Caenorhabditis elegans: one gene and its partners. The main gene of each other region encodes a partner of the protein of the gene in region 3 in a complex. Each region holds a gene or a part of one and is shown on either strand. Other genes may lie near its edges.

Evidence for each region.
Region 1: exos-1 (region 3) and crn-3 share a complex: the UniProt entries of both Caenorhabditis elegans proteins name them as parts of the RNA exosome complex.
Region 2: exos-1 (region 3) and exos-2 share a complex: the UniProt entries of both Caenorhabditis elegans proteins name them as parts of the RNA exosome complex.

What each region holds. Positions count from the first base shown.
Region 1 is NC_003280.10:10,583,894-10,596,506, reverse strand, and holds crn-3 (Exosome complex component 10 homolog), read right to left. Parts: upstream 8,466-12,613; 5' UTR 8,465-8,465; coding exon 8,226-8,464; intron 7,602-8,225; coding exon 6,171-7,601; intron 6,056-6,170; coding exon 5,533-6,055; intron 5,108-5,532; coding exon 4,804-5,107; intron 4,083-4,803; coding exon 3,949-4,082; 3' UTR 3,855-3,948; downstream 1-3,854. Other genes in the region: C14A4.7 (MARVEL domain-containing protein), read left to right, coding at 1-136, 243-300, 348-472, 522-626, 975-1,059, 1,127-1,176; C14A4.6 (MARVEL domain-containing protein), read left to right, coding at 1,751-1,810, 2,292-2,346, 2,392-2,516, 2,574-2,763, 2,810-2,856; crn-5 (Exosome complex component RRP46 homolog), read right to left, coding at 3,008-3,281, 3,329-3,495, 3,542-3,745; Alpha-1,2-mannosyltransferase algn-9, read right to left, coding at 8,775-8,930, 9,233-9,535, 9,593-10,123, 10,178-10,379, 10,901-11,440, 12,084-12,163; mrps-22 (Mitochondrial Ribosomal Protein, Small), read right to left, coding at 12,431-12,613. UniProt on the Caenorhabditis elegans protein: Catalytic component of the RNA exosome complex which has 3'->5' exoribonuclease activity and participates in a multitude of cellular RNA processing and degradation events. Involved in apoptotic DNA degradation.
Region 2 is NC_003282.8:6,410,460-6,420,626, reverse strand, and holds exos-2 (Exosome complex component RRP4 homolog), read right to left. Parts: upstream 5,150-10,167; 5' UTR 5,125-5,149; coding exon 4,985-5,124; intron 4,924-4,984; coding exon 4,755-4,923; intron 4,710-4,754; coding exon 4,482-4,709; exon of another isoform or gene 4,375-4,481; coding exon of another isoform or gene 4,174-4,374; intron 4,127-4,173; coding exon of another isoform or gene 4,010-4,126; exon of another isoform or gene 3,974-4,009; intron 3,900-3,973; coding exon 3,744-3,899; intron 3,550-3,743; coding exon 3,421-3,549; intron 3,374-3,420; coding exon 3,284-3,373; 3' UTR 3,167-3,283; downstream 1-3,166. Other genes in the region: htp-2 (HORMA domain-containing protein), read right to left, coding at 1-10, 60-793, 840-987, 1,033-1,098; Y73B6BL.23 (uncharacterized protein), read left to right, coding at 1,549-1,622, 1,671-1,733, 1,779-1,857, 1,904-1,969, 2,020-2,160, 2,208-2,281, 2,328-2,424; Y73B6BL.22 (Nitrogen regulatory IIA protein), read left to right, coding at 4,010-4,126, 4,174-4,374; nlp-71 (Neuropeptide-Like Protein), read left to right, coding at 7,106-7,158, 9,897-9,983. UniProt on the Caenorhabditis elegans protein: Non-catalytic component of the RNA exosome complex which has 3'->5' exoribonuclease activity and participates in a multitude of cellular RNA processing and degradation events. Involved in regulation of antisense ribosomal siRNA production.
Region 3 is NC_003281.10:11,001,446-11,011,106, reverse strand, and holds exos-1 (Exosome complex component CSL4 homolog), read right to left. Parts: upstream 2,065-9,661; 5' UTR 2,057-2,064; coding exon 1,913-2,056; intron 1,857-1,912; coding exon 1,738-1,856; intron 1,691-1,737; coding exon 1,588-1,690; intron 926-1,587; coding exon 665-925; 3' UTR 501-664; downstream 1-500. Other genes in the region: Y48A6B.3 (Putative H/ACA ribonucleoprotein complex subunit 2-like protein), read right to left, coding at 2,290-2,507, 2,553-2,712, 2,763-2,876; fipr-17 (FIP (Fungus-Induced Protein) Related), read left to right, coding at 3,505-3,648. UniProt on the Caenorhabditis elegans protein: Non-catalytic component of the RNA exosome complex which has 3'->5' exoribonuclease activity and participates in a multitude of cellular RNA processing and degradation events. Involved in regulation of antisense ribosomal siRNA production.

The DNA of each region.
Region 1 (12,613 bases), on a different chromosome or scaffold from region 3:
AGACACAGACAACTCAAGACGGTTTCCACCAAAAATACTATTTTTCCATCTTCTTATTTATTCAACTCTCCTGCAAATGACGCTTCGATTCGAACGATTTAGGCACTTTCCGGAAAGTGGAAAAACTATCACTTTGGTAGGATTTTAGTTTGGATTTAAAAGAAAGTGTTTTAGGAATTCTGAAATAGAATCTTGAATTCTATTTTTTTAATTAAATTATAGAATTTCTCATTTCTTTCCAGCTTCTCAGTGCTGTACTCGGACTAGTACTTTCCTTCACAGATCTTCATTATCCTAAAGGTACCCTTCAAATTAGATTTCAAAAAGTTCACATTATCAAATTCCAGAAGCCAAGTTCTTCTGGATCAGCTTTTGGATTTCCTTTGCCTTTGATGTTATCACAATCTTGATCCTTTTAAAAGACTGGGATGAAAATGTTGAATGGATGAGAAAAGCACCGTATTCGGTGTATGTAAGTTTTTAAAAGTGTTTATTTGAGTAAACTCGAAGTAAATTTTCAGCATTGTCTGGCCTCACTGCTCGTCAGCTTTTTCATTTTTATGTCCGGAATCTTGTTCATAACCAGTGAATCGTATTCTGGAGATGGTGTTCTGTATGTTGGAGCTGTGAGTTAACACTTCGTAATTCAAGATTACATTTTTTGGGAAAATTTTTAAAAAAATGTGTGAAAAAATTTTGAAATACGCAGCCGAGTTTGCCGAATTTGCAGCTCGCCAAGCTCGGCAAAAATTGAGATTCGCCGCATACCCCTGTTCCGAGTGGAGAACCTGCAATAAATTCTTAGAAAATGATCTAATTTTCAAATTCGTGTGGTTTAACTTTGAAAAACATAAGCAACAAATCTTCAAATAAAAAACTTCCAACACTTTTTCATCGTCCAAAAATGAAATGAAAATATAACCAAATCAATCTTTGTAAAAATTGTTTAAAAATTGATTCCTAAAATTTTCAAGTTCTTCTGTTTCCTGATCTTCGGAGTTCGAATCGCGTGTATTTTCAAATCATTGCCACAACTGAGACAAGATGTTCACTTTCCAGGTGAGTACTTTTTCTATTTTTTCACATATCAGAATTAAATGAAAAAATATTTTCATTTCTTTTACAGGTCGGCCAAGCAACGCTGACTACGAAAACAACGGCACTTCAATTGCTTAGTTCCAATAATTTTATTTATGTTCTGTTCAAAATTAATAACTTGTAAAATAAATCATTTGAATCTGAAAATTGGTAGCGTTGAAAATTCTAAAACTTTACTGTGATTGGAGATTACTGTAATTGATAGTAATCTAACAGTATCCGATTGTGTAAAGTTTGGCGCTTTTAGAGACCACTATGCCTGAAATCGTGGCAAGACCTACTCAGAATAACGAAGTGTGCCTTTAATATTTGGTTCCCCTGAAAGCTGTCAAAATATCCTTAAAATACCCCCTAAATAAATTGTGGAGACATCACAGAAGCAGACACTCTCGTTTCTCTGCACTCTCTCACCATCTACACCTCTCCCAGTGAATTGCATAAACCTGTAGAGTAGAGCATCAAACGTTATCAGTTACGCTCCTGATAAGAGCCCATTGAATGCAGTAACCGAAAACAGAATAGAAACTCTCCCCCCAATTCTCGCCTCATTATTTATTTGTGAACTTAACTTCGTTATTTCAAATTTTATATAGCCATGTGCATACGAATAAAATATTAAATATTGATTTCAGATATCTAACAAGACCAAAAAATGCCACTGAATGTGTCAAGATTCAAGAAAATCCCAGAACTCGTCAAGATTTTGTCATTGGTGAGTTGAATACACGATGTGACACCTGAAATTTGGTCACGGGGCTATCTCGATGGCCTAAGATTCTTCTATTATTACGAGATCACTAAATTCTGAGAATGCGTATTACGCAACAGATCTGACGCGCAAAATATCTCGTAGCGAAAACTACAGTAATTCTTTAAATGACTATTGTAGCGCTGGTCCGATTTTGCGATGTTTTCATAGTTTATTGATGAAGTTTATTTTGCACGTCAGATATGTTGCGCAATACGCAGTCTCAGAATTTTATGTTCTAGTAATACGTAGACGTCTGATGCGAATGTTCGCGCATTGGTCTCGCCACGCGAAAATCGCGTTACTGTAACTCGTGTCGATTTACGGGCCTCCATCCTTCGTAGGCACAGAGTTACAGTAACTCGTTATTCGCGTGGCGAGACCCATCCGCAAAAATTATCATATTTAGACGCCTATGTAATATAAAAATATAAAATAATTCTAGCTGGGATCTTTGACACTACTCATCTACCTTGGAACCATCAAGTTCCGACCACCAGGTTCGATTTTTGTACTAAAATTTCTCGTAAAACCTCTTTTTTCAGGAATGTCAGTAATTTGGTTCACAATTGGATGCTCCATCGTCTTCGATATTTGCACAATTGCAGTACTTCTCAAGGAGTACGATATCTCAATAATGGCGATTCGAATGCTACCGTATGCAGCAATTGTAAGTTCGGGCATCGATGGGGCACACGTGAAACTACACGGAAATTTGAATTTCTAGGAATGTATTGGATCGATTCTTGCAATTATTTGCTATGTTATCTCCATGGCAATATCGATTAGTAGTGAAGAAGTGACTGATGATTTCGGATTTTTGGTGGTCGCAATTTTTTGTTTTATTATTGCACTCATCCACGTGTTCAATCTGGTTGTAAATGTTCGAAGATGGAATAATGGATCACATCATTTGAGTGAGATTTTTTTTCTTATTTTGAAAATTCACCATTTTTATTTCAGATCCGGCTGGAGTCTACGAATATTCAAATTATGGATCTGAAGCTTAACCTATTCTTAAATACCTAAATACCTTCTCTTGTCACATTTCTACAAAAACTTCGACTTTGAAATTTAAGATTTTAATATCTCACAAAACAATGGATTCAAAATTAAATAAAAAATTAAAATCAACAACGACAACAACAAAACATTGATAATCTATTGCTCATCAACCGAAAGCTTCCTCTTCATCACAGTTTTGTAGAAATCAAAAATAGCACTGGCAGATGGTTGTGCCAATGACCACGCGGCTTCCAGCTGAATAAAATCCCAATGTCCTATAGCGTCCATCGCACACACTTCTGGATGTCCATCGGATCCTTTGCACACTGAAAAGAGCACTCTTCCAGTCGATGCAGCTTCTTGTTTTGCTGTCGGATCAATAATCAGCTCATCTTTGACACGAACAATAAGGACACCACAGAAGACTGTTCTGAAAAATTATATTACAGTTTTAAAACAGTATCTAAAAAAACTTACTCGAATGGCATTCCATTGTCAAGTAGAGCAAAACAAGCTCCATTTATCGCTACAGCTCCCATACTTCCATCATCCTGAATTCCATGTACTGTGACAGAAATTGTTGTGTGGGGAAACAATTCGAGATTGATTGCATTGGATAGAGTAGAATGAATGATATTGTTCAGCTGAAAAAAGAATTATTCCAAAAGTAATTTCTACAAAAACCCCTACCACATTGAACTTGTTATCTCCACAATTTGCTCTATAACTAATATCCAGAGTCATAGCCTCATCACTTGCTTTCGAAGCGTGAACATCTCCAGGACCACTGCATGAAGCCCAAATACACGTGGCACCCTGGGAGAAGCATGCCGAGCCATCCGCGTTTTTGAGGAACGAGAGCTCACAACGCATTTCACGAAGTCTGCCGGCCATTTGGGGATATCTGAAATCAAAATTAATCACAAAAATGAATTTTGTAGAAAATATAACTGAAATTGGTGGAAAACCAAATTGAATTAAAAATAAATAAATAAAAAGATTTCAAAAACAGTTTTCTTTAATTTCAAAGCAAAAGAAAAAGCACAACAACAAAAAGTAAAATAACAATGGTAATGGGATGGGATGTAACAATTTAATCATTTTTTGTAGTTGATGGTTCCTTGTCGATTCGATGATTTTTTCATAGCCATATTCTTCTTTGTCTTGTTCTTCAATCGATATTTTTGATGGAATGGATCGAAATCGGCGTTGTTGTCTCGAACAGGTTTTTCTGGAAATAATTTATTAGGAATTTGATTTCGAGACTTTTTTGAGAGCTATATAATTGGGTACGGTATTATCCAAATTTTGAGCCAGAAAACGTTTTTTTTTTGCAAATTTGCGGTTCTTTTTGGAATTTAACGAAAAATTGATTTTTTGGTGTTTTTTTTTGGTATTTTGAATTTTTTTTTTTGGGTTTTTTAATAGCTTTTATTGGCACTTCGACGAATAACATTGATTTTTTTTTGGGTTTTTTTGTTGGAATTCAACAAAAATTGAAATATTTCTTGTATTTTGACGAAAAATTGATTTTTTTGTTTTTTTTTTCAGACCAACAAAAATATTTTTTGAAAAACCAATACATTTTCACATATTCACGATTTTTTTGAAAAATAAATTCAAGCATCAACTTTTTTTGGTTTTTGTTCGTTTTTCGCAAATTCGTAAATTTCAATTTTGGTTTTTTGTTCAAAAATATTTTTTGTCCCAGCCCTGGTGTGCTCCTTTAAAGAGTACTGTAATTTCAAACTTTTGTTGCTGCGGAATTTTTTTTAGTTTTAAATTTATTTATTAAAAAACTAAAATAAAACCGAAGAAAATTTCCCAGTAACGAAAATTTGAAACTACAGTACTCTTCAAAGGCGCACACCATTTTGCAAGTTGTCGCGACCTGGTACCGTATTTTTAGCCTTAAATCTCGCGTCTGGATAATTCAAAGGAATATAACTTACCAAATGCACTACTATCAGCTTTTTCATAATCAAAATCTTCAACGGGAGCATCATCATCAGATTTTTTCTTTTTTGGATCTGAACTACTCGACGACTCGCCGAGCACAACAGAAACATCTATATTTCGTCGAGCAGCATCTCTCTTTCTTTTCATTGCCTTCTTTGACAGTAGCTGGTCGTCGGTAAAACGAGATGGATCGAAGATTTGAGGTTCCGATGAAGATTCTTCCATTGGTGAAGGTTCTGGATCTTTCGGCTTGTTCGGATCATCTGGGACCAGCTTCAGTGTATCAACGTTTAGAAGCTGAAAATTATCTTATTAAAACCAAGGATGTCATCGGAATTTTTAAATATATTTTTTTTCATTTATTTTTTTTTTGAGAAAATCGAAAAAAAAGAAGTTTTATTTTCTGATTTTTTCAGAGAAAATCGAAAAAAAATTCATTTTTATTTATTTTTTCAGAGAAAATTAAAAAAAGATTTTAGTGATTTTTTCAGATAATTTTTTTTTAAAGTTTTTTTACTAAATTTTTTTCAGAGAAAATCGAAAAAAAAAAATTTTCTATCAAATCTGTACGTTTTTCCGCCGAAAATTTTTTTTTAAGAATAAAGCAATCTCTGAATTCCGTATGAGCAATACCGATTTTGGAATTTTCTTTTCAGACATTTTTTTTCGGTTTTTCCCAAAAAAAAAAACGATTTTTTTCAGATTTCATTATATCTACCAACCTTCGCATCGAATTCAGGTTTTCTATTAATCGGAGCATCATGATGTGAGAACATAGTCTTCGGTAGATCACCTTCCTCCAATTTCTTTCTCTCAGCCTCTTTTCTCTCTTCTTCTTCTTGCTTTTCTTTTGTAATCATCATCATTTGATAACATTCAAATGGAGTTACAAATTTGTCAAGTTCATTCAACAACTTTTTAACTTTCTGATTATCCGATTTCTTTCCTTTTTCCACAACAATCATAGTTTCCACACTTGGAATTTCAGCCGTTTGGAGCACTGATAACAATGATTCTTTATGATCTTTCAGCTCGATATCCATTCCTTCATCTGTCTTATCAATATAAATTTCTCCGCGTTCTTCGTCAAATCTAGTGTGTGAAAAGTCGATTTTTGATTTTAAAACTGAAGTGATATGATCCATAGTATCGTTCATTACACCTCGTGCTTCCTGTGCATCATTTCTTTCTTTCGCCGACAATCCCACTTTCTCAAGCTTCACATCTCTGGCCTCCACAATTATTCTGTAATTTTATAATTAGAATATTTATTATGAGGTCTTTTGAGTCCCGGAGCTTATATTTACGAAATTTTCATTTTTCGGAAAATGCTGGGACTCCCACAATTCTCAAAACTTACTTCAAAATATCACCAGTTCGCTGTTTCACAAAGTACGGTAACGGGTTACAACACGCGTAGATACCTCCAACATCTCGTGGTAATGTCTCAGAAAGTGATAGCATCATATGATTTGGAAGTACAAAATGTGGGCTCTCATCTTCTGCTCTAGCTACTACATCTCTCCATTTGAAAAGATGTGTAAGTGCATAGTCCTGTCGAGTATTCAGTGTGAATCGGAATTTTATTTCCGTCAAATATCCTTTCGGATTGAACACTGGTTTCTTGTATACTTTTATGCAAAGATCGCTAGACTCTGAGTAGACGTTGGCCAAATCCTTGGTATCTTGTTTCAGAAGTTGCTCTCGGAGCATATCATAACTATACAAAAGGTAATGAGTATCCTCTCTCGCGTAGTTTATCATCGCATTTCGTAGAGGCCGTGCTCTCCAGTCAGCCAGTTGATATTGTTTGTCCAGAACAACGTCGGCAAATCGGAGAGTGAGGTAGGCAAGACTGAATTTAGGATACTTCAGCTTTTTCATGGCAACATATGTATCAAATAAATTAACAACATGAACTCCATAATCCCTTTGTAGCCAGAGAACATCACTGTCAGAACCGTGAAAAACTTTGAGAATACGTGGATTTGCAAATGGCTCATTGAGCATTCCAACATGATCCCATATTGGGAAGGGATCAATGATAAAGTCTTCATCTCTTGTTGAAATTTGAATAAGGCAGGTCAATCCAAGATACGATCGCATTTGGTGATGCTCCAAGTCGACTGCGAACTCTTTTACAGAATTCAAAGTTTTCGTTAATGCTTCAAGCTTCTCCTTAGTATCAATCATTGTCAATGGAGTATCCTTCAATGCTGTGAATTTTAAACACTCTGCAGATTTCAGCTGAGCTTCTGGAACTTTGAAGTGAAGAATTTCAGCGATATATGGATGTTCCTCTTCAGTTTCTGTTTCAGCACTTATCCAATCTCTTCTTCCAGACTCATCGTCATCGTGGAGAACAATACCCGTTCGTTTTTCAATGGCATGATGTTTAACAGTCAATTTAGAAGAAAAAGGAGCTTGTGAGTTGTCCGAACTGATGTTATACGTCTTCTGTGGTTTTTCCAACACAACCATCTGAGCAGCTTCTTCTCTTCGTTCTCTAAACTTCTCCGCCAAAACCGTTCCAATATTCGCTGAAAACGTTCTCATTGCCGCTGAAACTTCTGCTTCGGTTTTTCGATTTGTTGGGGCGGCTTTTGTAATGAATTCTGGAACTTTGACTATCTCATCTAGCTCGGCTTTTTTCAGCGCTTCATGGAGAGTTGCTGCACGTTCTGCAATGTTGTCCTGAGCCTCGATAACACATTCTGTGTAATGTTCGACTGATGAACCGACATCTGGAACTCGCATTGCACATCCTATTGACTTGGTGACTTTGTTCATGCTGAAAATATGGAATTTCAAGTTTTTTGTTTTTAAATGAAATTTTCTCTGAACATGGCCCTGCCAAGAATGTCGTTTTCCGATTTTTTCGATGTTTTTAACTTAAAATAGAAAAGCCAAAAATGTTCGTTTTTTTTTTCGATTTTCCTAAAACTCAAAAAAAAAAGTTCAAAAAATTCACCATAAAATATGATTTATTTCAAATAATTTAGTTTATATTGATGAGAAAAAACATGACAATTTCTTCTAAAAAGAAGCAAAAATACCAAATTTTAAAGCTAATTTTTTAAAAATCTCGAAATAGCGGAAAATCGAAAAAACGGAAAATTTTCTATTGAAAAAAAATCGAAAATTTTTCGTTTTTCGATTTTTTGAAATTTTTTGTAGTTTTTTTGTAGTTTTTGGCGAATAATTTTTTTTAAAGTTTTTTTCCAAAATAACTTCAAAATTTAAAACTTAAAATGCATGTTTGATGAAAATATTTAAGCTTTTTGAAATAAAGTTTCTTTTTTTTTGTGTTTCTGGAGAAAAAAAAATGTTTTTTGGTGTTTTTGGCTTAAAAAAATGTCGATTAAATTTTTTTTTAATTTTCCGGAGCTTTTTCGGATTCAGACGCTCAACTCACAGTGCATTCAATCTCTGCTCGGATCGCTTCATAAACGTGTTGAATGTCGGATACGAGTTGTAGAGCTCATAATCCGCACCAGCTTTCGGCAAACCATTTGATTCACGAACAAGCCCGGCGCCATTTCTCATAATTTCTTCGACTTTTTTCCTCATCGCTAACGTTCTTTTTCTTATCATTTCCTCTTCTTCCTCAGATTGCTTCTGCTCTTCATCGGGCATTGATTCTTCTCCTGACATTCTGTAAATTTTCTTTGAACTTGAGAAACGAAAGTTTAGAAAAAAATCAAGAAAAATAATAAATCGTTGACTTGAAACCAAGAAAAGAAAAACAATAAATGAGAATAAATTGTAAAAAAAATATTTCTTGGTAATAAATAATATTAACGATAAATACAAATTTTAAAAATTTCCAGGCAATAAATAAGAAGAATAAATTAAATTTAAAGAAGGTGACCTAAAAGAAAAAACCCGAAATTAACATGAAATCGGAATCCCTGAATCTGAATTCCGTTCAGACAAAGTGAACAATAAATATTTAATACATGTTTTACAAATTTGATTTTCGATATAAAGTGCATGTCGTCATGACATTATGTTTGGCAGAAAGGAATGGAACATAAAATGCACGAAGAAGCCCATGGAATCCTGTTGATTTGGAGACATCGATGAATGGAAGCGAATCCACTGGTTTCCAGTTATCTTCCTAAAAATAGATATGAATTTACAATTATATATTAAGAACATTTCTACAGGAAGGAGTAGTGTGAGTATGCTTGAAATAATCCAAAATTGTCAAAAACGAAAAAAAATGGGAAAGAATGAAAATTTGAATTTAAAAATTTGATTTCCTCAAACAGGGAATTTAGCCAAAATTGTAGAATCGCGTTTTCAATTCTTTTCCATTTTTTTTTTGTTTTTCTTTTGTAGTTTTGTCGCTGAATTTGAGATGATTTTTTTTTTGAAATAAAATCTCCATTTACGTTTCTCCATATTCAAAACCCCTACCATTTTCCTGAAATCAGGTTCTCTATCCGACTGTGGCATATCAACATCAACCACATAATCGCATGAATCTAAATCCACATATCTCGATATTTCTTCTTGATTCAGATTATTCATTTCTGTTGGTATATGACGTGTAACTTCCACCAACTTGTCCGATTTTAAGAATGGTTTAGGTAAAAGTCCGCGGAATTCACTTTGAATAAATCGCATTTCCACTTTTTTCCCATCAGAAACTGTTTGTGGAATGAAGAACGATGAAGGGAAGCGGTGCCATTCTTTTCCAACGCATACACGAATTGGATCCTGAACAACTGGGAGTTTTCGAAAAAATAAAAACATTGAAATTTATAAAACTCTTACATGGAAATTTTTGAAATTCGTCCGATTCGTCAGCTCTGCGTTCAGAGATCGATAAATCTCAACGTGAGATCCATAATTGTTATGAATTGAGTACGTCCTTGATGCCGAGAGAATTGCAAAGCACAAAATGAAGAGAATGCTGAGAATATTATCCATTCCTAATTTCTTGAGACACAGTCGATTCGTGGCATCCAATGCAAGAGCAGCGAAGAAAGCAATGAATGGATAAATTGGGAATAGGAAACGTTCTTCTTTATGAGCTTGACTTCCAAAAATCAAAAGCCATGCGGCAGTGGTGACAGCCAATAGGATGATTGGTGCAAATCTTTGATAGAGTGCCACGTTTCTATCCTGAGACATCCAGACTTTTGTGAAATAGGCAAGAGACAGAGGAAAGCCAAATGGAGCAGCAAATATGACGATATTCCAGTTGTTGAAGAGATTTTTGATGTAGAAAGAGAGCGGTTCTTCTCCGTAAAGTGATGGACCAGGACCACTGACAACGTTGTAGAGGAAGATGTTTAATGGGGCCTTAAAGGATTTAATTAACTTAGAATTTAAATTTTAGAAATTAAATTTACTTACCAAAACAGTCTTTCCAAAATAATGACTATCAGTAATAACCTGCACACCACCAATACATAATCCAATCACTAACGATGTCAGAATAAATCTAATTCTTAATCCTTTCAATAAAAGCATATCGGCAACAATCGGAAGCCCCAAGACAGCAGAGAACGGCCAGCCAACCATAGTGGAGAAAGCGACGCAGAAGATTCCAGCTGTCCTGTAATAAGAAGAATATAGATAATTCTAAAGCGCGAAGATTTTCTATTTTTGCTCCAGAAATACGGTAACCGGTCTCGAAGCGACTAATGTTTTGAATGGAAAAAATGGTGCGCCTTTGAGGATTACTGTAGTTCTCAACAAGGGTGTGGGATATTCGATTTTCCGTTTTCCAAAATTTCGACAAATGTTTCATTTCAAAAAAAATCGTTTTTTTTTTTTAAATTTATTTTGAATTTTGGTCATTTTTCCTCTTTGTAGAATTGAATTATATGTTTTTCTTATCAGAATAAATAAAATTCGATTAAAATTTTTTTCAATTTTTCGGTTTTTTTTTTGTGAAAAAATCTAATCCCGCGACAACGGGGAGTTATAAACTACAGTAATCTTTAAAGGCCCATGCTAGTTTGAATTCTAAAATTTTTTAAAAAGCTGGTCGCTTCGGGACCGGGTACAGTAATTTCGGAGCAAAAATCGTAAAATTCCGTTTTTTTTTAATTTAGAAAGTGAAGTTTGTATTACCAATTCTCGTTGAGATATGCTCCAAGTATGTAGAAAGTTATAGCCATACAGAATGAAGATGGAACGAATGCAGTACTTGCCAGGAACATTCCAGATGAGAAAATTGAGAATAAGATGAAGAATCGGCCAGTTGCAATGTTGATTTTCTTACAAATGGCATCAAATGCATAATATTCTCCCAACAAACAAAATAAACCAATTGTCAATCGAATAAGAGTGAAAACTACAATTTTAGTGTCACCGAACAAGTTGGCAAAAAGACTCGCGGGAATGTAGTGGAGGTAAATGTAGAAATACGATCGGATGGCATAAACGGGAGAGTATTCCCATGTTTGAAATCCTTCTCCGTAAAGAAACAAATGAAGTGGCTCCCAATAGTTGTAGACTTCATCACAATCATTGATAATACCCCATATTGCACCGGAAATTCGAATTGAGAGCAACATTTTGAAGACTGAACCGAAGGAAAATGGCCAGTCATTGTCTGGATTGTTGGCTTTGTGATATAGTTTTTCGACTTTTATCTTCTTTTTGTCGGCGCTGAAAAAATAAAAAAAATCAATTTTTTAAAAAATATTTTTCGTTCTTCTTTTTTCTCGTTTTTCCGATTTTCAAAAATTGAAAATTTTTGTGTTTTTCCTAGAAAAAAAAAATGGTTTTAGTTCGAAACAAGGGTAGTTTATAAACTAGCTTTTAAAAAAATCATAAATTTTCGATTTTTTTCATATTTTTCGTGCATGTTCTATACTTTTTTCTAAAGTTACCGATTTCTAAAAATCTAAAAATTTTGTTTTGACCGCGAAAAAAACTATTCGAATTTTCAACAATTTCCGGTTTTTTCTTAATATTTTAAAGAAAAATTCGTTGTTTTCTTATCAATATTAAATTTTTGATAAATCTAGTTTTTAAAAAAATTTGAAAAATGTCGCTTTTCGCAAAAAATCGAATAATCAATAATTTCCTGTCATTTCTCGATATTTTACATAAATTAATTTTTTTTTCATCAAAATCAACTTAAAAATCAGGTTTAAAAAACCATATTTAGAATACTCAAAAGTTTTTATTCTTCGATTTTCCGATGTTCAATTTTTCGAATTCCAATAAATTGAACATTTGCTTTTTTTTTTGGGTGAAACCTGGTAGTTTAAAAGGGTTTTTCAATTCAAAAATGTGTTCAACTCACTCAAAACTAGATCGATCAACTATTCTTGGCGGTGGTTTCTGTGGCGGACCACTGCCTCCTTTTCTTCTATGCGTCACCATGGTTTAACCTGAAAAATGTGGATTGAAAAAATGTTTCTAACAAGATTAACAAATAACAAGTGGATGGGATATCAACCAATCTAATCAATTTTTTTGAAAAAAAAGTTCAAAATCTGTAAATTTCATAGAAAAAAAAACAAAAAAACGAGAATTAAAAAAAAAAGAATAAAATGAAAACAAACAATGAAAAAAAACAATAGATAGCTAAAATCCTAATAAATACAAAAATTATTTCAATTTTCACTTTAAATCTCTATCTAGAAAGCATCATTCTTTTTTCTTTCCATCATCATCTGATCTCTTTTCCCTACTTCTCCATCGTCCTTTTCCACCACCACGTCCTCCTTCATCTTTCTTATTCTCTTCACCTCCTCCTCCTTCACGTCCACTTCCCTCACTCTTCACCACTTTCACCGAATATTCACTGCTCAAATCACCAAGTGGTCCATC
Region 2 (10,167 bases), on a different chromosome or scaffold from region 3:
CGAGAGAATCCTACAAATTGAAACTGTTTGTTAATGTGTACAACACTATTTAATCTAACGGTTATATTATCAACCGGAGACGTCACGTTTCCTCCTTGATCGTTGGCAGATTCAGTAGTATCCTGACTAAGACCTGGGTCGGTGTCCTCCGAATTGAACGATTTATACAGCACATTCACTGGATTGAATGCATACATATCGGAAACTTTGTCCAGATGTCCCTTGAGAGTCAACTCTGCTGCGTATGAATCGGACATCGACTTGCTCCAGCATTGCATGTGTGCAGCGTGGTGTCCCGGGCGTAAGTGACCAATGGTGACCGATTGGATACCATCAGGAAGTGTGTAAAAAGTGGAAGAATCGTCGAAGCCATCGATGCGGAAATTGGATGGAGCATCGTTTGTGTACTTCAATCGAAAATTAGCCGTGAATTCTGCTGGCAACGGTTCGAGAACTTTCGTGCAGAGGAACTGAACACTGCGAACAATCGTCACCATTTGATCCCGTACACTTTCGGCACCCTCATATCGAAGTTGAGCAAGCTCCGCGAAGTGAGGATCTTCCTGGTCATTGTTGTCAGTGCTCAGACGAGCAACCACGCCGCCATTCTCAAAATAAATGAACTTCATAGAGAACACTTCGATGGCTTCAACATCTCCGTCATGCTCGGTCACCACGAGGGAGATTTCTTTCAGAAACCCATCCTTTGTGGCATCCCCGGCGGCTCGAAGTAGTTGAGCGATTTGGTGAGCCCGTAGGTTTTTGAAGCTCAGCGTCATGCAACTCAGATTTTCTGGAAAAAAACATTTACAATACAATGTGATAAGAAAAACAATTACCAGTGATGTAATTCTTCGAGAAATATTCTTTTTCGAGAATGTTACGTTGCCTGAGAACAGCCGAAAACACGACGTAGATTGCCCTGATCATAAAATTGGACGATCGATCCGGGTCGCTGACAATGCTTGGGAAAAGTTTGGACCATGTCTAAAATTAAAAAAATTAAAATAAGCATAAAACCATGAAACAAACTTTATCATCAATGGCATCCTTCGATTTGTTGAGCGACTCGTTGTAGTTATTTTCCAAAGGCGCCATCTGCAAAAAACAATTTGAAGACATTTTTAGGGCAAAGTTTAATTTTTGAATTCAAAAAAAAGAATGCAGATGATGCGTAATTAAAGGTACATCGGATTGGTGCAACCCATTGGTCTCACCACGCAATTACAAAAGCTGAAAATTATTCAAATAATTTTTGACTAAATGCAGCTTTTCTTTTCATTTTAAAGTAAATTTTTTATTCATTTCAAAACTGGCAATAAGTTTATTTGCTAGAAGTAGTTTTAGAAAGTAATATGTTTTAAAAATACGCAAATGCAAGTGAAATTCGCGAACCCGTGGTGATACCTAAATTTAGTTTACTGACTGCGCCTTTGATTACTGTAGCCTGTTTGCTTGGTTTCGAAACGTTTTGAATTCTCATTTTTTGTGCGAATTCACCTAATTTTTCTCCTATTAAGCTCAAAAAACGTTTTCCATTGTTTTCAGATGCCAAACTATCGAGGACGTCATCAAACGAGACAGAATTGGAGTTCTAAGCCAAGAGAAGAGCACTCCCCGAGGTATTTGAAATTAACAAAATGCCATTTTTTCGAGTACTTTCCTTTCAGCAAAGGCACATACACGGACAAAATCCGGAGCGTTCCAGTCAGTGAGGTCGTCAGGCAACAAACGTATGAAACTAATTTTTGAATGCTCCTAATTGATTCATTCTTCAGGGTGAACGACTGGGTGACTACAGGTGCTTATTCGCTTGGATCGCCAGACTCGTGGCCATCTTATCCGGACGAAATCATAGTGAGTGTCACAGTACAACGAAAAGATCTCATTTTTCTTGTTTTAGCTGATGAACGAGTCCCGAAATGCTCAGACATCCCGCAATTCGCGTCGGTCGGCTACTCCCGGTCCAGTGAGTTTATTTTCTTCATATTTTCGTTACGAGACTGATCTTGGTTTCAGAGATTGCCACAAGATAGAAGGACAAGAACTACAGCACCCACCGTTGCGCCGATTCCGTTCCAGAGGGCACAGCCTCGAATAGAAGTGGAGAGGCAAAGAATCAACGAGCCTGTCGCACAGGACCTGATTATCGATAATGAGGTACCAGAAAAGTTTCATCGATTATTAGTTGTAATGTATTTTTGTAGAACGGTACCAACAACTCCAACGATTCGAGTATCTGTGGCATTATGGAGGAATTCGAGGAGCTCGTATATCCACAGTGAGTATCTAAATCAATGAATTAACTCTGAAATCTCTTTTTCCAGATGGGTTTACTATCTGTACCCATTGATTCCCACCGCGCCCAACTGCAACAACGAGAAGTCGTACAAAGAAGGTTCCAATTGGTACATCTCTCCATGAATGATCTCCCTCTTCAGCTTCTCTCAATCTGTCATATTTCTTATGCCTGCGTGGCTCCTCATTCTTTCTCATATTGTCAGTCCCATCATACCCGTAATCAAACCCCCCCTCATTCAATTTTCTCTGTACCGGTTAAGAAGTTCTAACATTGTATTTTCCATGATTCTATATCAGGAGCTGTTTTCCCATTATTAATCCATAATATGATCGAAAGTTATTCACCATCGAGAATTAGAAGTTCGAATTAACTTCACATTGTTTTCTATGAAACGTTCATCCGATCCTCGTTTACCATTCGATCCTTTGTTATATTTTCCCATTTTTACTGTGCCCAACACCTCATATGCATCCTTTTAGGTTAGAAGTCTGCTAATTAGCAGCATAATTTTTGAGCTTTCACTGAATGTCTGTCCCATGCCTGCTCTCTCTTTTCCTTTTTGTTGTTTTCCTCTGGTCAATGTTTCAATTCTTCCTGGTTTTTTTTGAATCACAATAAACACTTTCCAGAAAATCGTCTCGATTCTCACTTGGTGGATTGAAAAGCGGATAGTGTGAATCGAAGTATATTCACTGAAATTGTTCGGTCATTAAGTTAGAATGTGGAGTTCAATTGAAACAATTCCTAGATCAAAAAAATTTCTGTGCGACCTTGGGTTTGCAAAGATTACGGGTCGATCGTTTAATTTCAGGGTATGGACCATTTCTTTCGAAACTTTCAGATTTTGTATCGCAGCTAATATCATCCGAAAAAGTAAAAAGTTTTATTTAATTGAAATGGTAAATAAGAAACTCAACAAGAAATAACAGCAACAAAAAAGGTAAATTTTAAATAGGGAGAGATCATTCAAAACAATTAGAATTACTTCTGCTGTTGAAGTTCCTGTAGAAGCCGTGCAGCAATCAGGTAGGCGAGTCGAGAAGACGTGTCTTGCTCGGCGAGCTCTTTGATCTGAAATTATTTTTCTAATTTTTTAAAACTGAAGAAACAATCGATACTTCATAAGGCTGACTCATTTCATAGCATGTTGTCAGTGAATTGAGGTAGATCGAGATGGAATAATCACGAAGAAGACGAACACAGGCAGCGATTCTGACCATAGTTACGCGTACGTCGGGAGGTACAATCTGAAATTTATTTTATTGCGAAAAAAGCCAAATTTTTTTGTTTTTCTTTTCGATTATGATGATCACGAGTATGATGAATAAATTATAAGGTCTCGTCAATCATTGGAATTATTATAATTTCTCGTTGTTGAGTCACCAAATATGTGCGCTAATTGTTATTTTCGATTCATTTTTCTCAAGAATCACTATCACACCTGAAACTCGTGAACATGTGATCCATCCTCTTCAAGTGTGGTCTCCGGCAACGACGGCGTGACCCACACACTTCCGTTGCAGCCAATAATCACAGCCATTCCGTAGGGTAACGTGTGAAAATGTTTCTTGGACTTTTTGATCAAATGTGGAGGAACCTGCAAAAAAAAGAAATTAATTCCGTGACTTCCCACTCATTTTGTGGATTTTTTTGTCGCTTTATTTATTTTGGCAGCATAAACAAAAAAGAAATATTGCTTTGAACGAGATGTCGCATAAGAATGAGAAAACTCAACACTTTGAAAAGGCGGAGGATATTCGTACAAAAGTGCTCGATTCAATGATCTACCGACTCGATGAACGTGCAAATATGGTTATCACGGAGGTTAGCTTTTCATTAATTTTTTTTGAAATAGAAAATTATTATTAAAGAGCCCAATTCCCGAATGGCGTGCTTATACACAATGGATTCTCATTGCTGCGTTGCTTGTAATTTTTTGTATTCTTCGTTATGGCGTCGAGACTGTTGAACTGCATCCAACTGCAAAGAAGGATCAAGATCCTGTGATTGAGTACAGAGATCGAGAATTGAATAAAACTTCTGAGGCTTTTAGAGCAAGACGCCGTACGTGAGCTAATTGGAATCAATTGGATGATGAATTTAAAGAAATATAACAACTTTCCGAACTATTATTTAAAAATTTATAATTGCGTTTTCTTAAGATTTTATAAAATATTACCTTAATCAATATTCCTTGTTGCAATTTTCCGTACTTATTATTTCTTGTGTGTAGCATAAGTGTTCCGTCGTGCTGGACTTGTTGGACTTCTGCACAGATCAGTTCTCCGTTTTTCAAGAATTCGCTCATTTTCTCCTCATCTTCTACATCTTTTCTGCGAAAGTCTCCTCCTGGCAGGAGAACTGAACCTAGTGGAAGATTTGCATGAAGACGAGATGCCACATCACACTGAAAAACAATTATCGTTATATTTTTCACTTAAAAATTTGAAACCTTCCACCGTTTTGCTTGAACCTCCACGACACGGGCAACTACAACATCTCCGACTTCACCAGCATATCGTTGTTTAATAGTTTTAACCATCAACAGTCGATTTAATTGTTGAACGACTCCAGAGAGAGAACTGACGATTTCTCCGTCGCGAACGTAAGTTCCATGTCCTCTGAAAATCTTAATTTTTTCATTTTTCAAAAAGATATAACAGTATTTTACAATATACATACCTCATAAACTGTTGCGGTGCATCACAAACTGAATGTCCTGGAATAACAATTTTTGTCTCATCAATATCATTTCTTGCTTCGGACATTGATAACATCATCCATGGTGATACGAGGGGTGGACCGGTGACTTCGAAACTCATTTTTTAAATTTTTTTTGTCTGCAAATAACCAAATTTAAATAAACTTAAATTAAACAAAGAAACTGAAAAAAGCTTTCATTCGAAATGAAAATAAAAATAATTATTTCCAACGACACTCCGAAATGACGGAAAGCGTGCTGTTTATCGTAAACCCACACGTCACTCAATTGGCGCCTATTCAAATGTTGATTTTCGACCATAAAAGTGCGAGCCAATTGAGCGTGCAAATTTAATTGTTTCTGCTAAACCAATGACGATGAAAACCCGAAATTGAAATAAAAATAAGGTTCGACACGAAGCCATTGTCTGACTTTTTATAAAGGTGTCATTGGAAGGAAGTGTGAGTTGAATGGGACACCTATAATTTCGACTTGCATGCGAACGGGAAAAATACAACAAAAGAGGATACGTAGAAATATATTGGAGAAAAACTGAGTATTTAAAACAGAAGTAAAAATCGTAAAGGAAAAATTTTCAAAACTTTGGTGGTTTATTGTGCGATTTTTAAATATTTCCTAGATTCCGATTTTGCGGGTTTATGTACTCTTTTTTATTTAGGTTGACTGTAAAAGTATTCTTCTCCATCTAAAAATTAAAAAAAAAACATTTTCAGACGGTAGACGGTCATGTGGAACTCTTAGAAAAAAGTTTTGAAATTTTGAAAAAATTGAAAAAAAATCAATGTTTCTGAAAAAACATTTATAAAGTTACCATTTTCTGATTAACAATGTTCGAATTTTCGAATTGGTATTTCTTATTTTGATTGAGAGTTTTATGAGAAGTATTGAAACATATTTTTGATATTATTCTTAAATTTCGTTAAAAGTTATTAAAAATGCATATGTACCCGGAATATTGTAATTGAGCCAGTATTTGAACAACTTCTCAAGAACTTCAACTAAACATTCGGTTAATTTCAGGAAAATCAATATTATTTCTTCTGTTCTATTCATATTTCAGATTGAAATCTTTCACAGAACAGTGCAAATTTCCTAAAAAGAATGTGTCGCAAAAGAAAGGTCCACATATTTTTCTAGCAGTTGTACACTTGCTCCATATTCGAAGCTCATTTTTTATTTTTTGTTTTATATCAAAAATTGTTAACTGACAACTAATTGACTATTTACTTTTCTAAAATTTCCCATAAAAATAGTAGTAGGAGTCTTACAAAAGCTCCCAGAAAAATTTGTAAAAAATCGAAAAAAAAAAACACTGTTTCTGATACACTATTTACAAAATTGTGGTTCATCGAAAACAATGTTTTCAAAATATTGTATCTAATACATCGAGGCATTGATTAATTTTAGAAGTTATAACTTGGTTGTCTTTAAATTTTTGAACAACTGTCAACTGGCAACTTATTGATTATTTAATTTTCTAAAATTTATCAATTTTACAGTTTGTAAACTGTTTTGAATGAATTGAGATATGAGCTGTTAAAGTATGATAGTCAGGTGCAAGTACTTATTTATTTTGTCATTTCATTTTTTCGTAGTTTTAAAATCGCTAACCAATGTCTAGAAAACTTTATACAAAATTATCCATAATTTGCATTATCAGAGCCCTTAATTTCCCACAAAAATTCGGCGAAAAATGTGGGTGGACGGACGGGTGTTTTTCGATGACAAATGGACAGATCAAAAGCTTTCATTAATTATTTGAATATACTTCTTTTCACTCATCTTCCGTCATTTTCACACGCCTACCGTACTCCTCCATTGACTTCGCAAATCGCGGCGAATTTGAAATTAATATTTTAAAGAAATTTCTTACAGAATCTTTTATATTTTTTTGCGTTGATTCCAAGATCCGGGGGAATTTTAAATTTTTATTCATCAATTCTAGAGACAGACTCTAACAAAAATTCTAATTTCTTCCTACCCCGAGACTCCGCCCACATCTTCGTTTAAAAGAGACTGAGAAACGGGAAAAAGCTTCCACTTGCTATTGCTCTAACGTCTCGTCTTCTTGTGCTCCGAATATGAAGTCGTCGTCAGTGCTCTCCGTTGCTTTGATTGTTCTCGTCATCGTTCAGTAAGTCAGATTTTGGTGTTTCTGGGAATTGTATAGGGTGCAAGTAGTTGTGGGAGTCTCTAAATAAGACTTTTGAGGAAATTTGATAGGTATACAGAGATTTAGAAGGAATTAGAAAGGTCTATTTCATATTGCTGCAGATCTTTGAAGAGTCTTGGGATGTTCCGAAGTAGTATAACAGGACGACCTGACTGAAACAACTCCAATAATTGATTTCAATAGAGTTGAGGAAAATAGAATACGTAAAACAGTGGGTAAAAGTGTCTAAAATCTTTTCAACAAAATTTTTTTTTGTTTGGTTTGAAATTAAAAAACCGGTCAATATTCAATAAACTTATTGGAGCCTGTTTCAGACATGCCCTATTATCACAAAGAATTTTTAGAACGAACCACATTTTGTTCCCTACGAAATTTGATTTATTTTGTTATGTTGAAAATGCACTTTTAAAAGTTTCGAATGCCTTCTTTTATTCTCAATTTCACCCTGCAATTATTCTGGTACATCAGTTTAGAGATTTACGCAGCTTTCATTAGTTCTTCCTTTTCTGAAATATCTTGAATCCGTAGATGTAACAGTCGATTACACCATGGAAAATGGAGACAAAATTTATGTTAAATGTGTGAAACAGTAAATTAATTTTTCAGAGTTCAGAAAAACAACTCAAACGAACGCTTATTTTTTCCAATGAACAGTTTTTTAGCCTCTGAATGTGTTTTATAAATTAAAGGAGCACCATGTTGAATTAATGGTGTATAAGTTTGCTAAAAAACTTCAGCATTCTGTGAAACAGTAATTTTTGACTCATGTCTTTCAAGCAACAATTTTCTCTAGGTTTTGCCGTTACAGTATGTTTTTATTTTCAGCTATATTAACAGTTTATGAAAATTTTTTGAAACAGAAATAACCGTTCCCACAGACTTTTTTATCAAACAAAGCTTATTGTGAAAATTTATATGAAAATTCATTAAACTTGCCAGTCATCATGTCTGATCCATATAATTACGTTCAGTTTTCTAAGAAACTATAAATAGTAAGAACAATGTCCCGCTTTAGAGAAAATGAGATATTTTTAAAATTACCTTGCCGCAAATATCTAAAAAAATCCAATTGCCCGGAAACACCTTTAAAGAAAAGTTGCAAAAAATGTAGAAAATGTTAAATAGTGTACAAACACCATGATGCCTATAAAAATCTATTTTTTTTCAAAATGTATGTTTCCAACGTCCGACGTTTTCTGAGTACTGCCCCGGCTAAAGTGACAAAATTTCTACAGATGAAAGTCGCAAAATTTCGGGCGGTCAAATTTTCAAAGTCAACTCTTTTGAAAGTTCTAGTCACACCGTTTCGTAAAATTAATAACTTCTTATTATTTTGAATAATCTTACAAAAAAAGTTTGAAACAGTAAAAATATGAATCAGGAATTATTATTATTATTATTATTATTAAAATTGGTGTACCCCCAAAACATCCAAATTTTGTAATGAGTTGTTCTGAAAATTTCAAAGTTTTGAAAAAATGGCATGCGTTTATTTAAAATTTAAAATTTTGCCAACTACACATAGTCAAAACTTGCGGATCTTAGCAACCTAAAATATACCCAAATCGCCGAATAAAAGCTGAAAAAATTATTAAAATAAGCCTTAAAGGGTGAAAATCCAACAAAAAAATCAAGCTCCGCCCGCTGCGATACTTTTGCAAAATTTGAGATTTTCCCTAGAAATAGGCCTTTTTCCAAAATTTCTTACCGCTATAGGCTTTTTTTCTAGAAATTATCATTACAAAATTTGGTAGTTTTGGGTCATCTTGGGTCTAAAAAGCAACATTTCAGATTTCGGTACTCCACCATTAATAATAATAATAATTGATTTAAATTTTTCTGTTTCAAGTTTTCATTGTTTCATGAGCAAATTTTGTGCCTATCTTAAGTGCCTATCTTAAGTGCACTGAGCGCCCGTCATGCGAGTTTTGCAATTAGACTTTCTTGTCGGTACCCCACCTCTAAAACACGGAACTAACATTTTCCGATCGTAAAAAAGTAACATCATATTTTCCCACGTTTTATGATCAACCAACCCACATTCCAGTCAAATGATACCACGTAATGATCACATTGTTGCCAAAGTTATATTTATATTTTTTCCATTAAATGAAAAGAAGTTCCCACACTCTTTTCCCATGCTTTTCCTCCGCACAATCAAGATTTCAGAGGGTGATGCGAGAAGGGTCATTGACCATGAATTATAACAACAATTCAAAGATATATTTCAAAAAGTAAAATGAATATTTTATGATACAAAAAATGTATAAAATCGTACAATTACTACATGAAAAAACACTTTCTGATTTGGTTATTCATACTTTTCCTTTCTATTCTTGTTCATTTCTAATCCTTTCATCATTGGTATCTTTGTAATTTTATAAATTCTAAAGTTTTAATTCAAAAAAAAGACTAGATAATGAATAATTGATAAAACATATCGCAACCGGGAAGGATAATTTATGAGTTTCCACCCTCTGAGGCGCGGGAAACAAAAAAAGTAAAAATGTACTGAAATACAAAATGACGTGTTTGGATGAACAATTTGACCCATGGGGATTCATGGAATGTATTAGTGGTTTACCCGAAATAAAAAAGGCATCAGAGCTCAAAAACGTGCATATTTAGTACGAATATATTCTCTAACATGTTGTTTTTTTTTTAGTTTTGAAGAATCTTGAAATAGATTTATTTTTCAGATTGATCTCCGCATCACTAGCATCTGTCCCATCATCATCTGCAGTTTCCGATGGACAAATTGACTTTGATGCACTGGCGGCTAAAATGTGAGATAGTCATGATTAATTTATTACTGTTTCAGGAAAAAAGTAAAGCTAGGGCTTTTGAAACTGTGGATAGTTTTCCATATTTTTTGTGATTAAAAATATTAGTGAAGCCGGGTGTCGTGGCAATTTCAATTTCGGTGACTTCTGAAATAGCCAAAAATGTAAAGTTTTAAGCCAAACCTCA
Region 3 (9,661 bases):
CAAATTTTCGTTAAATGCAAAAAGGTGTGCGCCTTTAAGGAGTACTGTAGCTTCAAACTTTAGTTGTCGCATAATTTTGAGAGATTTTTCACAGTTTTTTGATGAAAACGTATGTTTTTTTTAGCAAAAAGCTAAACAAATCGTGAGAAAAAATTTGGAAAATCGATTTAAATTCGGCAGAAACGAAATTTTGAAACTACAGTACTCTTTAAAGGCGCACACCTTTTTGCATTTAACAAAAATTTGTTGTGTCCAGACCGAAAACTTTATATTTTCACAAAAATCGCCGAATTTCTTGGTTTATAAGCAATTCAAAAGAAAAAAGTCAACATTTCGCTGCGAGACCGGTAAATTCTCAATAGGGCGCGGTTACTGGGCTAATTTGAATTTTCGCACAATTTCAGTTACTCTTTTTTGAAAATTGAAATTATAAAAAAAATTTCCGCCGGAAAAATGGAAAAACTAAAAATTCTAGAACCTGAAAAGTTGAAAAAAAAAAACCGAGAAACATTTTTTTTTTTTTGAAAAATTGTTCAACAAAAAAGGAAGGAATGAGTGGGGGAACAATTATGACTTTTTTTTCCTCGAAACAATGGCCCCCAAAAACACAAAAAAAAGTACAAAAATATAACGATTCAAAGATCTTTTCAGAGAGGATAATTATTCAGGCCACCGATTGCGTGGGCAATGTGCACTTTTGCGGAACTTTGGCCATTTTCCTGGGTTCCGTTTTGCCGGTTCGTGTCGAGACCACCGTATTCCAGTCGACTTTTTGCATTGGTTCACCAAATCGTCCACGGCACAGCACAACGCCTAGCTCGTCTTCGGCGATCGATAAAACGAATTTGTCCTTGATTTCGGCGTCTTCACAAACTTTTGCCAGAATGTAGTCGTTGGGTCGCACAAAGTTTTTGAATGGCTCACTCTGCAAAAAATGCTCTTTATTTCAATTTTTTGCCTCTAAAGCAGTATCGCACAGAAAAAGAGGCGGAGCGTAATTTCGCAACCCTCCGGCACGGTTTTTCCACCTTTTTGCCAGTTTTCTACTGCATTTTTTATTGATTTTTTAAAATTTCACTTCTTAGTTAGTAAAATCTAAACTTCATTGAAAAAAATCAACAAAAATCAGTGTAAAACATGCGAAAAAGGAAGGAAACCCCGTGCCGCAGGGTTGCGAATTTAAGCTCCGCCTCTTTTTCTGTGCGATACACTACTTGGGTTCTCAGTTTGGGTCTCGCCACGATTTCGGCCCATATCTAATGTTTAAAAAAAAATTTTGCTCGAAAATCGCTTTAAAATAAGAAAAAAGAGGGAAATTTGTTTTTTGAGTAAAAAACCGAGAATTTCAGTTGAAATTTAGTGAAAATCAGTCTAAAATCAATGTTTTTCCGATGTTTCCACAAGAAATCAGGAATTTTGACGACTTTTCTGCAAAAAACCTTAAAATCGGCCATTTTTATGCGAAATTTCATAAGAATTTTCGCAAAAAAACCTAATTTTCTGCTAAAAAAAAGGTTTTTCCCACATTTGTAAGCAGAAATTCTTAATTTTTTCGTGGCGAGACCCACAATCCAGGCAAAATCCAACCAATTCAGGTTCCAGCGGCCTCAGCTTCTTTTTCGGCAGCAGCGCCGAGAACCGCTTCTTGTAAACCTTATCGCCGATACTGATGATGTCACATTTGGCGAATCTGCAATATTTTCTGTCGGTTTTCAGAGCAACGAAAAGCTGCTCTACCGTAATCCGACAGCCATCACTTTGGCGGTGACGATGGCTCCGTGGAATGGGAGAAGCTCATTGTCGAGCTGATCTTCGCTGCGGCGAACTTCGATCACTTGCACCAGGTTGTCGGATTTCTGCAGAAAAAACGGAAATTTTCGGGCTCCACGCTTGCGATTTGTGCGAAAATTACATCTCTGAATCCATAAACGTTGACAAAACCGGCTACCGACGCGAAGATCCTTCGATTCGCCTCGTATAATCCCTTCCCCATTCGATATTCACCAATCGCGTCGAGAACCTTGTCGCCGGGCGCCACAAGCGTTTCGGCGAGCATTTTCTGAGCTGAAAGTGGTTTAGAACGGGATTTGCTGTGATTTAGATTGATTTCGAGTAACAAAATTGAGTTTTGGAAATTACCGAGAAAGGATTAAAGAATAAAAAGAAAAAGTCTGTAGATAACAACAATTTAATGAGTGAACAATTGTGGATAAAGATGGTGATACAGATCAAGAAATTTTAAAAAATCAACAACAAAAAAAAAACAGTGAAAACCAGAGAAAAAACAATTTAGGCGGCCTCGACGGTGAGATGACGGAGAGCCTCGGCGACCTCGTCGTACAGCTCCTTGAAGTCCCCACTCGGCTTGACGAAGATCAGAATCGACGGGCGACGATGTCCGACGGCGAGTCCGAGCTGCTCACGAGATGGAATGTAGACGTATGGGATCTCCTTCTCCTCGCAGATTCCCGGAATATGTGAGTACACATCGATTGGAGAGACGTTTCCTGAAAAATTGAACGTTTTAAGGGAAAAATAGATTAAAATCCTACCAGCAAGAATGCAGATTCCCTTCTCGTTTCTGCGGAGCTCCTTCTGCACGTCCTTGATGCCCTCACGGAGGGTTTTATCGCCGGCGGAGGCCTTCTTGATGAGCTTGTACACCTTCTTGGCCAACTTGCGGTTTGCTAGTGGCTGAGCGATTGGGTTTACCTGAAAATAAGACATTTTTCATTAAAAAACCAGCGAAATTAATGATTTACCAGCTCGCAAAGTGCCTGGTACTCGTCCTTCTCGGTGGTTGGTGCGGTGGCGTCTCCATTGGCTTCTGATACGGTCGACTCGTTCATTGTCTCGTCCAGATTGCGCTTGCCCATTTTTTGATTCTGAAAATTCATAAGTTAATCGTGTAAATTAGCCGCAAAGTTCAATTAGCTTTAGGAAAAGAAAAACAATGAAAATGGGATTTTTGCAACAAAAAATCGATAAAAATCCTATTATGGGTGATTACATAGGAATTTTACGATATTTCATGGCTTAAAATTGATAAATATTATATTTCCGAATTTTAAAATTTAATTTTATCGAAAAAAATCGGAGAAAACCCGCAGAAAACTTCGAAAAATACAATAATTATGTGAAAATGCGTCAAAAGAGAAAAAAGAGAAATCGAATCGAAATGTGCAGTGGAGCGCGTTCGCCCACATCCCAGAGAGTGGAGACGCAGACAATTCGTTGGCGGGAATTCAAATTAGAGATTTTCAGGGAAATTCGTTTTGTTGAATTTTCAACTGTTCCTGACTCCGATTTTTGCAAGTTTTGCAGCCTCTCCGCTTCCCCGAAACGCTCAAACTTCAATTTTTACGAGTTATCATCAAAATCGCAACTAAAATATAACAATTTTATGTCCCCGAACCCCCCACCCGCCCCCTACACGGTACTATAAAAGCCAACTTCTTCCAGAATTCAAGCATCAGAAGCATCTTCTTCTTCTTCATCATCATCATGAACGTCTACTCTGTCTGCGTCTTCGCCATCTTGGCTATTTCTTCAGTTTCTGGAATCTTCTTGCCACAAGGAGGAAAGAAGTGCGGAGGAAGCAGTGGATACGGAAGCGGAGTCATCATCGGTGCACCACGTCCACAATAATTTTTGTGCAGTTTCTGTTGATTACTGATAAATATTGAACATTCAAACTCTGTTTTTTGGGCTTATAATCTTGTTAATCGCGCCGCAGGCCTTTCAGTTTTTAGGGCTTAGGCTTAGGCTTAGACTGAGGCTTAGGCCTAGGCTAATTCCTAGGCTTAGGCTTAGATGGAAAATCTATGACCTAATAAAATGGGACTTTGAAGTAGAAAGTTTGAAAAAAAAAAATCCCAAATTGGAGTTAATCTACGGGACTCTAAAGAAGTGCGAGACAAAATTAAAAAATTTCAAATTTATTTTTCTAGTCCAAAATGCTCCTACATATTGAGCAGTTTTCTGTTAGGTAGTTGAGGCTAGGTAGGCAGGCACGGTTTCAGGGCCTCACGAGAGGCAGGCGGAGGCCGCCTTAAGGTCAGGCAGGCAGGCGTTTTGGAACCCCTAACATTAACAATTCGACTTGCGTTGTATGATTTGAGTGTATTTGCAAACTTATATTTTCCGTGCAAATGATCACAAGGTTTTTAAGCATCGAAGCATACATCTTTGATGCTCCCGCTCCCGGAACTAACTTTATCGATGTGGGTGGAATAAAAGCCTTCCGATCACAAACCTTTTCCTCACTTCGGTTCTTCAAATGAACATTTATTGCGTTTTAGTGTTTGCTGTACTCTCCATCTTGTCGGTTGTTGGAAAACCTCGAGCTAACCATATTCGACCTGCCTCAGACCGACATATCATCATGGGATTCGACCTACCATCCAAGTTTGGATAATTCAAACTGAAGCAATTAATTTATGAATAAAAGTTGAACATTGTCTTGAAAATCTTGTTATGAAATTTGGGATAATCTGGTAATTTAGAACCATATGATTTTCCAGCACTTTTGAATTTTTGAAAAATACAGCTTTTATATATTTCTATCAATTTTTTAAAATACTTGCGGACAAGCTAGTATACTTTTTTTGGTATTTTCTGGTATATTTGGCAATGCTAAACAGTTTTATAAAATAAAAAAGAAGCGCTTCATATGATTTTATAGTACTTTTGAATTTTTGAAAAATACAGCATTTACATTGACATACCAAAAAATAGATTGACATACCAAAAAATAGATTGACATACCAAAAAATAGATTGACATACCAAAAAATAGATTGGCATACCAAAAAATAGATTGGCATACCAAAAAATAGATTGGCATACCAAAAAATAGATTGACATACCAAAAAATAGATTGGCATACCAAAAAATAGATTGGCATACCAAAAAATAGATTGACATACCAAAAAATAGATTGACATACCAAAAAATAGATTGGCATACCAAAAAATAGATTGACATACCAAAAAATAGATTGGCATACCAAAAAATAGATTGACATACCAAAAAATAGATTGACATACTAAAAAATAGATTGACATACCAAAAAATAGATTGACATACCAAAAAATAGATTGACATACCAAAAAATAGATTGACATACCAAAAAATAGATTGACATACCAAAAAATAGATTGACATACCAAAAAATAGATTGACATACTAAAAAATAGATTGACATACCAAAAAATAGATTGACATACCAAAAAATAGATTGACATACTAAAAAATAGATTGACATACCAAAAAATAGATTGACATACCAAAAAATAGATTGACATACTAAAAAATAGATTGACATACCAAAAAATAGATTGACATACCAAAAAATAGATTGACATACCAAAAAATAGATTGACATACCAAAAAATAGATTGACATACCAAAAAATAGATTGACATACTAAAAAATAGATTGACATACCAAAAAATAGATTGACATACCAAAAAATAGATTGACATACCAAAAAATAGATTGACATACCAAAAAATAGATTGACATACCAAAAAATAGATTGACATACCAAAAAATAGATTGACATACTAAAAAATAGATTGACATACCAAAAAATAGATTGACATACCAAAAAATAGATTGACATACTAAAAAATAGATTGACATACCAAAAAATAGATTGACATACTAAAAAATAGATTGACATACCAAAAAATAGATTGACATACCAAAAAATAGATTGACATACCAAAAAATAGATTGACATACCAAAAAATAGATTGACATACCAAAAAATAGATTGACATACTAAAAAATAGATTGACATACCAAAAAATAGATTGACATACCAAAAAATAGACTGACATACCAAAAAATAGATTGACATACCAAAAAATAGATTGACATACCAAAAAATAGATTGACATACCAAAAAATAGACTGACATACCAAAAAATAGATTGACATACCAAAAAATAGACTGACATACCAAAAAATAGATTGACATACCAAAAAATAGATTGGCATACCAAAAAATAGACTGACATACCAAAAAATAGATTGACATACCAAAAAATAGATTGACATACCAAAAAATAGATTGACATACCAAAAAATAGACTGACATACCAAAAAATAGATTGACATACCAAAAAATAGATTGACATACCAAAAAATAGACTGACATACCAAAAAATAGATTGACATACCAAAAAATAGATTGGCATACCAAAAAATAGACTGACATACCAAAAAATAGATTGACATACCAAAAAATAGATTGACATACCAAAAAATAGATTGACATACCAAAAAATAGACTGACATACCAAAAAATAGATTGACATACCAAAAAATAGACTGACATACCAAAAAATAGATTGACATACCAAAAAATAGATTGACATACCAAAAAATAGATTGGCATACCAAAAAATAGATTGGCATACCAAAAAAGTAGATTGGCATACATATATATTTTTATCAATTTTTTAAAAAATTCTTCCGTACAATCTAGCATACTTTCTTTGGTATTTTCTGGTAGAAATTCATAGGCGCGACAAATTTCAAAATTTGCCGAGCTACACATCCCTGCTCTAGACATTCCCTGTGTTTTTTGGCAATCGGTTTTCATGTGTATAATTTCACAAAACCTCCAAGTTTCTTCCATGAATAATGAAACAAATCCATGGATTTCTACATTTTCCAAAAGTTTACACGCCAAAAATCGGGATGCCCATTCTTCATTTCTTCTCTTTTGAATGGGACTTCCAGGTAGGCGAAAGCCCTGAACCGCGCCTGCCTACTATGAAAGCCGTACTCTTGAACAAAGATCATCTTTAGATCTCCTGGGCGCCAATTTTATTTTAGAAAAAATATATCGAATTTTCACCTCAATTTCCTCCTAGCGGTTTTCCGGACCTTGAAATTTGATAAAAAACGAGTGAAAACCCATTAAATTCAAATTTCTCTCGCACTCACAGAGTACTAACCTACGTGTAAATTTGATTCAGTACCACACAAAGGGTTATGCTTCCCGTCATGCTTCACCTATTTTTCCTTCAAAAATTTTTCTAAATTTCTTGGGAAATCCTGAAGATTGTCCTTTTAGTTTTCCCCGAAAATTTTGATAAAATCATCCCCAGGGACGGGCGGTTTTTGTCGGTGGATATATGAAGAATCGGCTTCTCCCGGGGGGTAGCAGTGTGATCACCTGATTTTTGAATTTTCTGACGAAATTCTGCCTTAAAAATCCCGAAAAAACATTTTTTATTGTTTTTTATTCTTTTTTAATCAAGGGCCCAAATGAGAAAAAAGAGCAGGCACGGGGGAGGAAAACGTAAATATTTTTAGCTGAAAGCTGATTTTGGCACAGAAATTAGGTTTCGGTTCCCTTATAGGCAGGCAGGCAGACCTTAGTTTGCAATGTGAACAGACAGTTGCATTATAGACAAGCATGTAGGTCTCAGTTTCTCCTGAAGACAGACAGTAAATTCTAGGTCACCTCATAGGCGTGTAGGCAGTAGTCAGGCAGATATGTAGGCAGGCAGGCAGGCCTAAGTTGCCTTATAGGTATTGTAAGTCTTTGAGCAGGCAGGCCTAATTCTCATATTTTCCTCGAATCTTGCCTTTTCAGACCTTTCCCAGAATATCCATAAAAAGGTACCACTTCCTTATTCCCCACATGTTTTCTCCTTCGGCATGAAAAAAGGTCACATTTGGGGTGTCATAATAGTACCCACCCATGTCTACCTAATTTCTAATTTTGACATGTTTTTCACTATAATTTCGGCCAAATTGATCTCTGCCTTGTCGACAATGACCAACTTGCAATAAATTATTCATCTCGGGGATTGTCGTGTCGTTTTTATCCAATTCTTGTTTTGTTTTGTTATTCTAGTCTTTCTTATCCGAGTTTTTCCTTGTTTCTACTTCTTTTCAAAATTAAAAAAAAAGTTTACCACGAAAAACCATTGGCTGCTGCCCTATAAGCCCCGCATAAAGTCGGCTGCCACCCTAACAAACCTGAAAAGCGTCGGCGGCCACCCTATCAGAAACTAGAAGCGTCGGCTGCAACTCCATCAGACCCACAAGGCGTCGGCTGCAATCCAAACAACCCGGAAAGCGTCGTCTGCTTTCCCATCAGACTCATATAGCGTCGGCCGCCATTCTACAAACCTCGCAGAGCGTCGGCTGCTACTCCAGCGAACGCGTATATCGTCGGCTGCCAAAACGCCTGCCGCCTTCCTATACGCCTAACTATGACCAAAATGAAGCTGAAAACTTACTTGTGTCTAATGAAAGTCAGATCTTCCAAATATTTGCCTATTTCAGAGGGAATTTCCTTGTACAAAATTTAAAAATATGTGCAGGTAGGCAGGCGTAGGCAGCATTGTGAAACCCCCTATTTGGTATTTTCTTGTATTATTCTTCTTCTCACATTCGTTTTTCCCTCCCGTATGATCCCCCAAGAGGCTTAATCTATCTTTCATCCGCATCTTTTTGTGTGTATGTGTGTGAGGTGGTGGTGGTACTAAAATAGGCACATAGACATGGAGAGGGCATCAATCTCAAAAAAAAAGAAATACCAGATATCATGGGTGCGACTTGTGGGCTCAAGTTTAAGAAATTTTATGCCCTCAATTTTTGCGAAAATTTTGATTATTTTTGAGTTTTTTACCCCGAATTCTCAGAATTTGATTACCACAAAAACCTCAAAGTTCACCACAAATAAAAAGAGACGAGACAATTAGACAAATGCACTCAATCTGTTCAGGAAATTGGATTTTTGGGTGGACATTCCGCTAATTTGTTTTTGGGGTGTTTGTAGAGAAGTGCCCGACGTTTTACTGGCACCGAAAAGCACTGGAGGTAGTTGCAGGAAAGCAGCCGACACCTCACAGGTTCTTATAACCAAGCAGCCGACACTTTCCAGACCCGTAAAATCAAGCAACCGACACTTTCCAGGCCATTAAAACACTGCAACTAACGCCTTCCTGGTTTTCCTAGCTGTGCTTCAACTATTTTTCCCTAGTTTGCCAAAACGTTTGTTACTTAATTATCCAATTTTGTTCCCTCCAAGCTCAAAAAAAAAAATTCCAGCCCAGTCCACGATTCCTCACATTCTCACGAAAACCGCCACGAGATTTCACCTAGACTCCTGGGACCCTCGCAATCCTGCAGAGCCGTTGATTTATGAGCCCTTAAAGCTTGTGAGAAGCTTTTCCCTCCCATCTCTTTCGCATAGTCAAAGTTCAGCCGAGTTTATATGGTAATTCGAGCAAAAAGTGGAAGTTCCACGTCAGCTTCATTAGTTTTGCTTCCATAAAATGTTAAGAAAACCAATTGGCCAATTCTAAATAATTTATTACCCGGATCTGGGTATTAAATTTCAGGATTTTATTTTCATTTTCTTTGCATTTTGCTTTCAGATGCATAATTTGTTTTGGAAAACCGAAAAAAATTATTTTAAGAAAAAAAACGTATTCTCCTATTCTGAAAACCATTGAAAAGCAGCCGACTCTTTTCGGCGTTGGTCGGCGGAGCAGGGCCCGGATTGCGTCGGCCGCTCCACCACGGGCACCCATGAGGTGTCGGCTGCTACCTAAAATGTGTAATGCTGCTTTCTTAGATCCCGGGATGTGTCGGCTGCTTCCGCAATATTCCCGGAAAGAATTGTTCCA